2 linked regions of the Sus scrofa genome follow. The protein of the gene in region 1 binds, or shares a complex with, the protein of each later gene. Links are inferred from orthologs where the notes say so. Each region holds a gene or a part of one and is shown on either strand. Other genes may lie near its edges. The genes, in order: NHP2 and NOP10.

Evidence for each region.
Region 2: NHP2 (region 1) and NOP10 share a complex: the UniProt entries of both Homo sapiens proteins name them as parts of the H/ACA small nucleolar ribonucleoprotein (H/ACA snoRNP) complex. The link is inferred for Sus scrofa from reciprocal best matches to the Homo sapiens genes NHP2 and NOP10.

The regions. Positions count from the first base shown.
Region 1 is NC_010444.4:80,221,955-80,226,491, forward strand, and holds the start of NHP2 (H/ACA ribonucleoprotein complex subunit 2), read left to right. Parts: upstream 1-1,484; 5' UTR 1,485-1,558; coding exon 1,559-1,718; intron 1,719-2,074; coding exon 2,075-2,144; intron 2,145-4,087; coding exon 4,088-4,193; exon of another isoform or gene 4,194-4,537. UniProt on the Homo sapiens protein: Required for ribosome biogenesis and telomere maintenance. Part of the H/ACA small nucleolar ribonucleoprotein (H/ACA snoRNP) complex, which catalyzes pseudouridylation of rRNA.
Region 2 is NC_010449.5:80,159,798-80,163,066, forward strand, and holds NOP10 (H/ACA ribonucleoprotein complex subunit 3), read left to right. Parts: upstream 1-1,226; 5' UTR 1,227-1,333; coding exon 1,334-1,387; intron 1,388-1,683; coding exon 1,684-1,824; 3' UTR 1,825-2,502; downstream 2,503-3,269. UniProt on the Homo sapiens protein: Required for ribosome biogenesis and telomere maintenance. Part of the H/ACA small nucleolar ribonucleoprotein (H/ACA snoRNP) complex, which catalyzes pseudouridylation of rRNA.

The sequences.
Region 1 (4,537 bases):
CATCATGGCTCAGCTATAACAAACCTGACTAGGATCCATGAGGACTTGGGTTTGATCCCTGGCCCCCGCTCAGTGGGTTAAGGATCTAGCTGTGCCGTGAGCTGTGGTATAGGTCACAGACGCTGCTCAGATCTGGCATTGCTGTGGCTGTGGTGTAGGCCTGTGGCTACCGCTCTGATACAACCCCTAATCTGGGAACTTCCATAGGCAGTGGGTGAAGCACTAAAAAGAAAAAAAAAAAAAAATTTCCACTTTCTGGGCTGTTCCACCACCACAAAAATGGAGGGCCTAACACCGCATGATCAAGGCAACTGACTTACAGCAACGATCTAATTAATATCCACCCAATAGGACACAAGAAATAAGGCAGAGGTACAAGATCCACCCTGGTCTAGGCCTGCTTGCCTCTCCAGCGGCACCATCCACTAATCCTCTACAGATAACTACACACAGAGTGCCTACTCAGAGCTCTCCCCACGACGCCCCAACTTCTCAGCTTCAGTGTTCAAGCCTTCTTCTGCAGTTCCCGCTGTCTCCGCAATGCCTCCCCTGTGCGTGATGCCAGGCAGTGGTAGGAACGATGAGGAAAACAGAGGGTTAGGGGATGCCGATGCAAGGTGAGCCTGAACTGCAATTTTTTTTTTCCCATGCCAGTGGAAGTTCCCGCCGCCAGAGACGGAACCCGCGCCACAGAAGCAACAGTGACAACACTGGATCCTTAACTAGCTACGCTACAAGGGAACTCCCAAGGACTGGAATTTTAGGTTAAGTGTGGTCAGGAAAATCTCCCACATGGGTAACACCTGAGCAGGTCTCTGCGGGAAGGGCGGGAAAGAAAGTCACCGGCTCTCTGGGGAAAAGCGGTCCAGATCGAGGCACTCAATGAATGGGGCCATCCCTTACCAGGAAAGAGAGCAGAGCGTGAGAAATCGTGCTAGAACGAAGAAATCGTTATCAATTAAGTTAAGGCTTTACTTTAACCTTAGTACCTAGGGTATACGCCACCAGGACCGGCTCTGGACCCGGGACCTGACCAGGCTCGGCACTGCCCATTGGAGGGATCAGATTCTAAGGAGGTGTGGAATCACACTGGGCCGACCTCTGGTAGCAGAACCCGCCCTTTAAGCTAGGATCCGTCCTTTTAGACTTGGTCACGCCCCCCACAGGTACAGCCTCCGCCCCCTCGTCTCCAGTATGGTTGACGCGCAACTCTCAGACGAGCCAGACGAGCCGAGGCAGCCGTCCCAGTCCCTCTTCTCCTCCTCCAGGCCCCGCCTCCCTCCGGGCTCCGCCCCCTCCCTCAGAGGTCCTCGGACTCCGGCCTTAATCCGCCCCGCCTCAGCTGTGGGAATGGTCCTGCCCCTACCGCCGAGACTCTGCCCCCCGCTCTATATTTAACGAGTTTAGCATCGGTGATTGGTCAGAGTCTGGGACCTGGGTTCCTAATTGGCTGTCGTGTACTGACTGCTTCCCTCAGAGGGGCATGACCCGGAAGCGATTTCTGAAGCGCCGGCCGCGTGTACTCGGTTCTTGGGCACTTGGTTGCCGAGTTGCTGCCATGACCAAAATAAAGGCAGATCCCGACGGGCCGGAGGCCCAGGCAGATGCGTGCTGCGGGGAGCGCACTTATCATGAACTGCTGGTGAATCTGAACCCCATCGCGCAACCCCTGGCTTCTCGCAAACTGACACGGAAGCTCTACAAATGCATCAAGAAAGGTGCGGTGGTGGGATGGATTGGGAGTTTGGGGTTAGCAGATGCAAACCACTGCATTTGGATTGGATAAGCAATGAGATCCTGCTGTATAGCACAGGGAACTATATCTAATCACCTGTGCTGGAGGATAATGTGGAAAAAAGGAATGTATATAAATATATAACAGGATCACTTTGCTATATAGCAGTAGTTGACAGAACATTGTAAGTCAACTATAATAAAAAACTTTTTAAAGAAAATCTACAGCCTCAGAAAATAAATAAAAATTTTAGAAAAGAGAGATGCGGCGGACGCCGGGCAGGGTGGGGACGCTGGTGGTGGCCCAAGGCCCCCGGGGCTGATTCCCCTGTCGTTGCAGCCGTAAAGCAGAAGCAGATTCGGCGCGGGGTGAAGGAGGTTCAGAAATTTATCAACAAAGGCGAAAAAGGGTAAGAACCCCCTACTGCCCGGTTTTGCATTTCTAAACGATGACGAAAGTATCCCTCCTACTTAGTAGGTAAAAGTGCTCTGACTTGCCCTGATATTCAGGTGATTAGTCGGTAAATTCCTTTCAGCACAGATGTCAATACATCACTTGCACGAGCTCTAAGGGACGGCCATGGGGAAAGAGAATTCCAGGGGAAGCCAGTCATATAAGCCAACTCACTTCAGGTAGATCCCAGCTTCATTCATGCAGCCACTATTTACTGTCTGCCCCTTTTCAGGCACTTGCTACAGGAGGAGATAGTGACATTAACCACACAGGATTACAACTTGTCATAGGCAACTACAGAAGGGAAAAAAGTACAGGGTGCGGTGAGAATGACTTCATTACCCTACATCTTCCCTATTTGGCATTTGTCAGATTCAGGAACTTATTTACGTTTCTATCTTATTATTATTATTATTTTTTTTGTCTTTTTAGGGCCGCACCCAAGGCATATGGAGGTTCCCAGGCTAGGGGTTTAATCGGAGCTGTATCCCCAGGCGTACCTCACAGCCACAGCAACATGGGATCCCAGCCACATCTGCGACCTACACCACAGCTCACAGCAATGCCAGATCCTTAACCCACTGAGCAAGGGCAGAGGCCAGGGATCTAACCCACGTCCTCATGGATACACGGTTCATGCCACGACGAGAACCTCCTTACTTATTTACATTCTTACTCCCTTTCTCTCTCACTTATATCAGAAAATAAGTTCTTTGAGGACAGGATGAACCGTCTCACTGCTTTATTTCCTTTCCAGAAGTGTGTGGTACATTGTAGTTGCTCAAGATATAAAAAATGATGGGGGGGTGATGCTAGGTGGGATAGCTGAGGTCTGAAGTTCTAGGAATTTGTGTGGGGGAGGGAGGAGCATTCTGTCAGAGGAAAGTGAATCCCAGGGCAGGAGAGGATAGTAGTGGGCAGAAGTGCTGTCCTCTCATGGGGCTTTGTAAGCCATGGTAAGTTTAGTTTTTGTACTCAGAGCTTTGGAGGCCACTGAGGGTTAAAGCCAGGGCGTGACATAATTACATTTACACCTTAAGAAGATGTTTCTGGAAGCTTTGGGAAGGATAAGAGATGGAAGACTAGATGGGGAAGTTGAGATAGGAGGCTGTTTTGGTGCAGAAGAGGTGAGGGCAATTTTGATTAGGTTAGTGATGGCAGAGATGGAGAGAATTAAAGTGGATGGATGAGAAGACTTTTGGACATACAGTGAAGAGGTATGGATTCGAGGCGAATGGACAGAGGGCCTACTCACTGAGAGAGTGAACAGTGGAAGAGGCTGAGTTTGTACAGGAAGATCACAAGTTTGGTTTTAGACAAGTTTGAGGTGCCTTTTATTTTTTTTATTTTTGGCAGCATCTGCAGCACACGGAAGTTTCCAGGCCAGGGATCAAATCCAATCCGAAGTTGTGATCTTTGATCTGTGCCACAGCTATGGCAACACCAGATCCCTAACCCACTGCCCCAGGCTGAGGATCAAACCTGCACTGATTCTCTGGACCTTAAAATGCTTTCCCTGTCCTCATCCCCTCCATGGGCTGCCTGACCGATGTTCATCATTCAGGTCTCCTCTCAAGTATTGCTTCCTGATTTCTTTTCTGAGCTCTTACTGCTTGGCATCCCTCCCATACCTCATCTGTCTCAGCCCAATACCTTTGTTACACTTGGTGGGTTTACTTGTTGCCAAGCAATAGAGATCACCTCCCAGAGGAATGCACTCCCCAAACCAATCTGCACGTACTTCCAGAGGTTTGGCGACACACATTAATAATTGGGATCCTTGATGGCAGGAGCCAACTTACCCATCTCTGTACTCCCAATGGCCAGCTCAGAGGTGGCACTTATAACTGAAAGAGGGAACAAGCAAGCTGGAAATGACAGTGGCTTCTCTCATTTCAGGATCATGGTTTTGGCAGGAGACACGTTACCTGTTGAGGTATACTGCCATCTCCCAGTTATGTGTGAAGACCGGAATTTGCCCTACGTCTATATCCCCTCTAAGACGGTAAGGAGGCTTGGGATAAGGTATGTGGCAGCAGATCATAGTGGGAAAGAGCCTGAGCTTTGGAGTTAAAAGATAGGCCTGGGTGGATTCTTGGCTTTGCTCCTTCCTAGATGAGGGATGGCAGATAAGTTACCTCTCTGCACTTCCATTTCCTTCTTGTAAAATGGGAATTCCCTTCTCCATGGGCTGTTGGGGATGAAATAGAAGGTGTACTTGGATGTGTTAGTCTTATTAGGTGGGCACAGTGTTCAGAGGAGGTGTTCTAGGGACTTGGAGCTGTCCTTATCCTTACGTAGCAGAGGCCAGTCTGGGGTCCAATAGAGGATGGCAGGGACCTAGAAAGC
Region 2 (3,269 bases), on another chromosome or scaffold:
CTGTATTTTCTGAACCAAATTCAGAGCACATAGTCTGTGTACTTAAGGATCAAGGGAACAGAATGTTTGAAATTAGGGTTGTCTTAGAAGATCAAGGGCATTGAATTGCTGTATACATATCATTTCCTTGGAAAGCTGTGCTGCAGTTCCCAAACTGTCCACTACCATCAGCTCTGCAGTCCACAGAAGGCTTAGCCTTAACCCTGGCTGAAAAGCCTCCCATTCCATCAAAAACTGCTATTCAGCCTAAAATTTCAAGAGCAAAAAGTCCTTCTTTTTGTTTGTTATTTTTGTTTAAAATTTTTGTTAATAATCTTAATTTTTTAAATGGTAATATGTCAGCATGGTTCAAAAGTCAAACTATGCAAAATGAAATATAACAAGTCTCCAACCATTCCTTTCCTCTGGAACCGAGTTATTTACCCCAGGGAAAACCAAATTTCCTCTGAATCCTTGCAAAGGTATTTTATGCAATTATAATAAACACAAACTATACTCTTTTTAAAAAAGCTTTCAGCTTTTTCTGGTTATAAACTTAATATATATTACAACGTTTCTGCCGTTATAAATAATAACGGCCACCTTCGTAAAGATATCTCGGTTCCAAATTCATTGCTTTAACTAGAAGTCCTATAAGGAGAATTTGTACGTTCTTTTAAAAATTCGAAATACCCCTAAGGGGTGCGTCTTATTAGCTACTCACCACTATAAGAATGGGCGTTGAATTTGTGGTAGAGACTTGAGTTTGAATCTTGGTTCGACCATTAAAACATACTTCACCAGTTTCATAAAATAACTTCACGCTCTTTTCGCTGTACAGAATATTGAATACCCATCATGCACTCTTTACCGCCAATACTTTGAAATAGGGCGAGGGAACCGGATGTAAAAGAGGGGAGGGAAGAAAACCTTCTTCTTTCTTCCCTAAAGTAAAAGGGGTTCTGGGTCCTGGAGCCCTGGTTTCTCCAGGTAATAGAAGCTCACTGCCTCTGAAATGGGTGTGTATCTTGTGATAAAGACAGGATTTTATTCATTAATGTTCAATCTATATCCATCCCTTCCCCCCACTGACGCCAAGCAGTGCCTAGCACACAGTGGGCACACTCCACGTGTCTCATAACGCCTGCAAGTTTGCAACTGGATTGCAACTGGCCAAGTCCTGCGGTAGTGCCCCCTTCCGGCCGGCTGGAGAAAGGCCTAAGTTGGACTACATTTCCCGGCGTGCTTTGAGAGCGAGACTTCCGTCTATACCGGAAGGAAGTTGCCAAACACTTTAGGCCTTCAGTTAGAAGCAGCTGCGGAAGGACCTGCGTCTACTGGCTTCAGCGTGATCATGTTTCTCCAGTATTATCTCAACGAGCAGGGAGACCGGGTCTATACCTTAAAGGTGAGAAGAAACAGGTTGTAAATGGGCATGACGAGAACTGTAGTTGGGAGGGGCGGTCAAGGCAAGCCAGTGAATTGCCTGCCTGGGTGAGGGGAACTAGAAAGCCCAGAAGCTACGCGTAGTAGAAGCAGGAGTGTCTGGCTCCTGGATCCGACCGTCGCGTGTCCTGTCTTCATGTTTACCTTTTTCCGCGTTGCCCCCTCCCCATCCCAGGCCCCATCTCTCATGACTCTCAGTGATAGGGTTTTCTCACCACTCCATTACTGAGATTTGTTATCTCTTTCCTCCTCGAGCAGAAGCTCGACCCCACGGGACAACAGACTTGCTCGGCCCATCCTGCTCGGTTCTCCCCAGACGACAAATATTCTCGACACCGGATCACTATCAAGAAACGCTTCAAGGTGCTTATGACCCAGCAACCGCGCCCCGTCCTTTGAGAATCTCTTAAAATTGTATGCTGCCTGCTAGCGCTCAAGAGACTGTGCAACCAAGCTCTTCGATCTGTGAGCCTTGAAGATTTACTCCAACCCTTGCTCATTAGAATCCGGTCTCATCATTGCCTTTGATCATGCTTGTTGTGAAGCAGTCATGCTAGCATTCCCTTTAAAGGGAAAAAGTTTGAATCTTTTTTTTCATACTTTGAATCACTGCCATGTTATTAAAATGATTTGAAAGAGCTCTTATTTTGTATGTTGTAAGAAGAGAGGATTGGTTTAAAAACAAACGAGGGAGATGAGAGGGAAGAGTACCCCAGGGATACAAGACTTCTTGGTGGCTGCTGTAGCAGTAGTGCTATGCTATGAGTCATAGGAGGGGGCTGGGGAAAGGGAGGAAAGCTTGAGAAAGACTCATCTGCAACAGCCACCTTCACTTGGCCAACCGTTGTGAATAGGAATGCCTTTATGTGTGTTTACTGACCCTGTGGAAATATTCCCAGGCCTTTAGTTCTTTCCATCAAGGAATTCTCTTCTTACATACACCTAACTTCACATTCTGTCTGCTATGTGGAATTCTACATGGATCTTAATTTAGAAGATGAGGCATGAGAGATTCAAGCAGGGATTTTTATTTTTCATGCTCCTCTTGAGGGATCATTTTTATTAAATTGTGGAGGATGTCTTAGGCCTTGAGCTTCTGTCATGGGGTAATCACAAATTTTTAATCCGATTACTTCATAATAGAGGGATGATGAGGCATAATATTGTATACAGGTATCCAAGAAATCCGGGAGTTTCCTGGTGGTCTAGTGGTTAGGTAGGACTCTGCGTTTTCACCCCTGCAGCCTAAGTTCAATACCTGGTCTGGGAGCTGAGATCCCATCTCAGGCCACTGCATGCCTCCAGCCAAAAAAAAAGAAAGAAAGAAATGCTAATGCTAACTTGCTTTTTCCATTCCTTAGGTTAATCGACTCACTATTTCCTAATCTTCTCATTTCTGGCTTTTGACGTTGAATTTAAACGTTTTCTTAGTGCCACTGATTTAAAATTGCCTTTTGGAGATTGCATCCAATTGTACAATCTTCTTTTCCTACATAGGCTTCCAGAAGCAGATGTGACTTAAATAAGCGCAAATCTGATTTATCAAGAGTGGTCCTGGAAAGGGGTAAATGTGCTTCTCTTGGACTCTGATGTTCGATCATCCCAGCAGAAAAGTTATAGTTGTTGACTGCTGAGGGGGAAAAAAAAAACAAAAAACTCTAGGGAGTTCCCGTTGTGGCACAGCGGAAACAAATCCAACTAGGAACCATGAGGTTTCAGGTTCAATCCCTGGTCTCACTCAATGGGTTAAGGATCTGGTGTTGCTGTGAGCTGTGGTATAGGCCGGCAGCTGCAGCTCTGATTAGACCCTTAGCATGGGAACTTCCATATGCAGCAGATGTGGC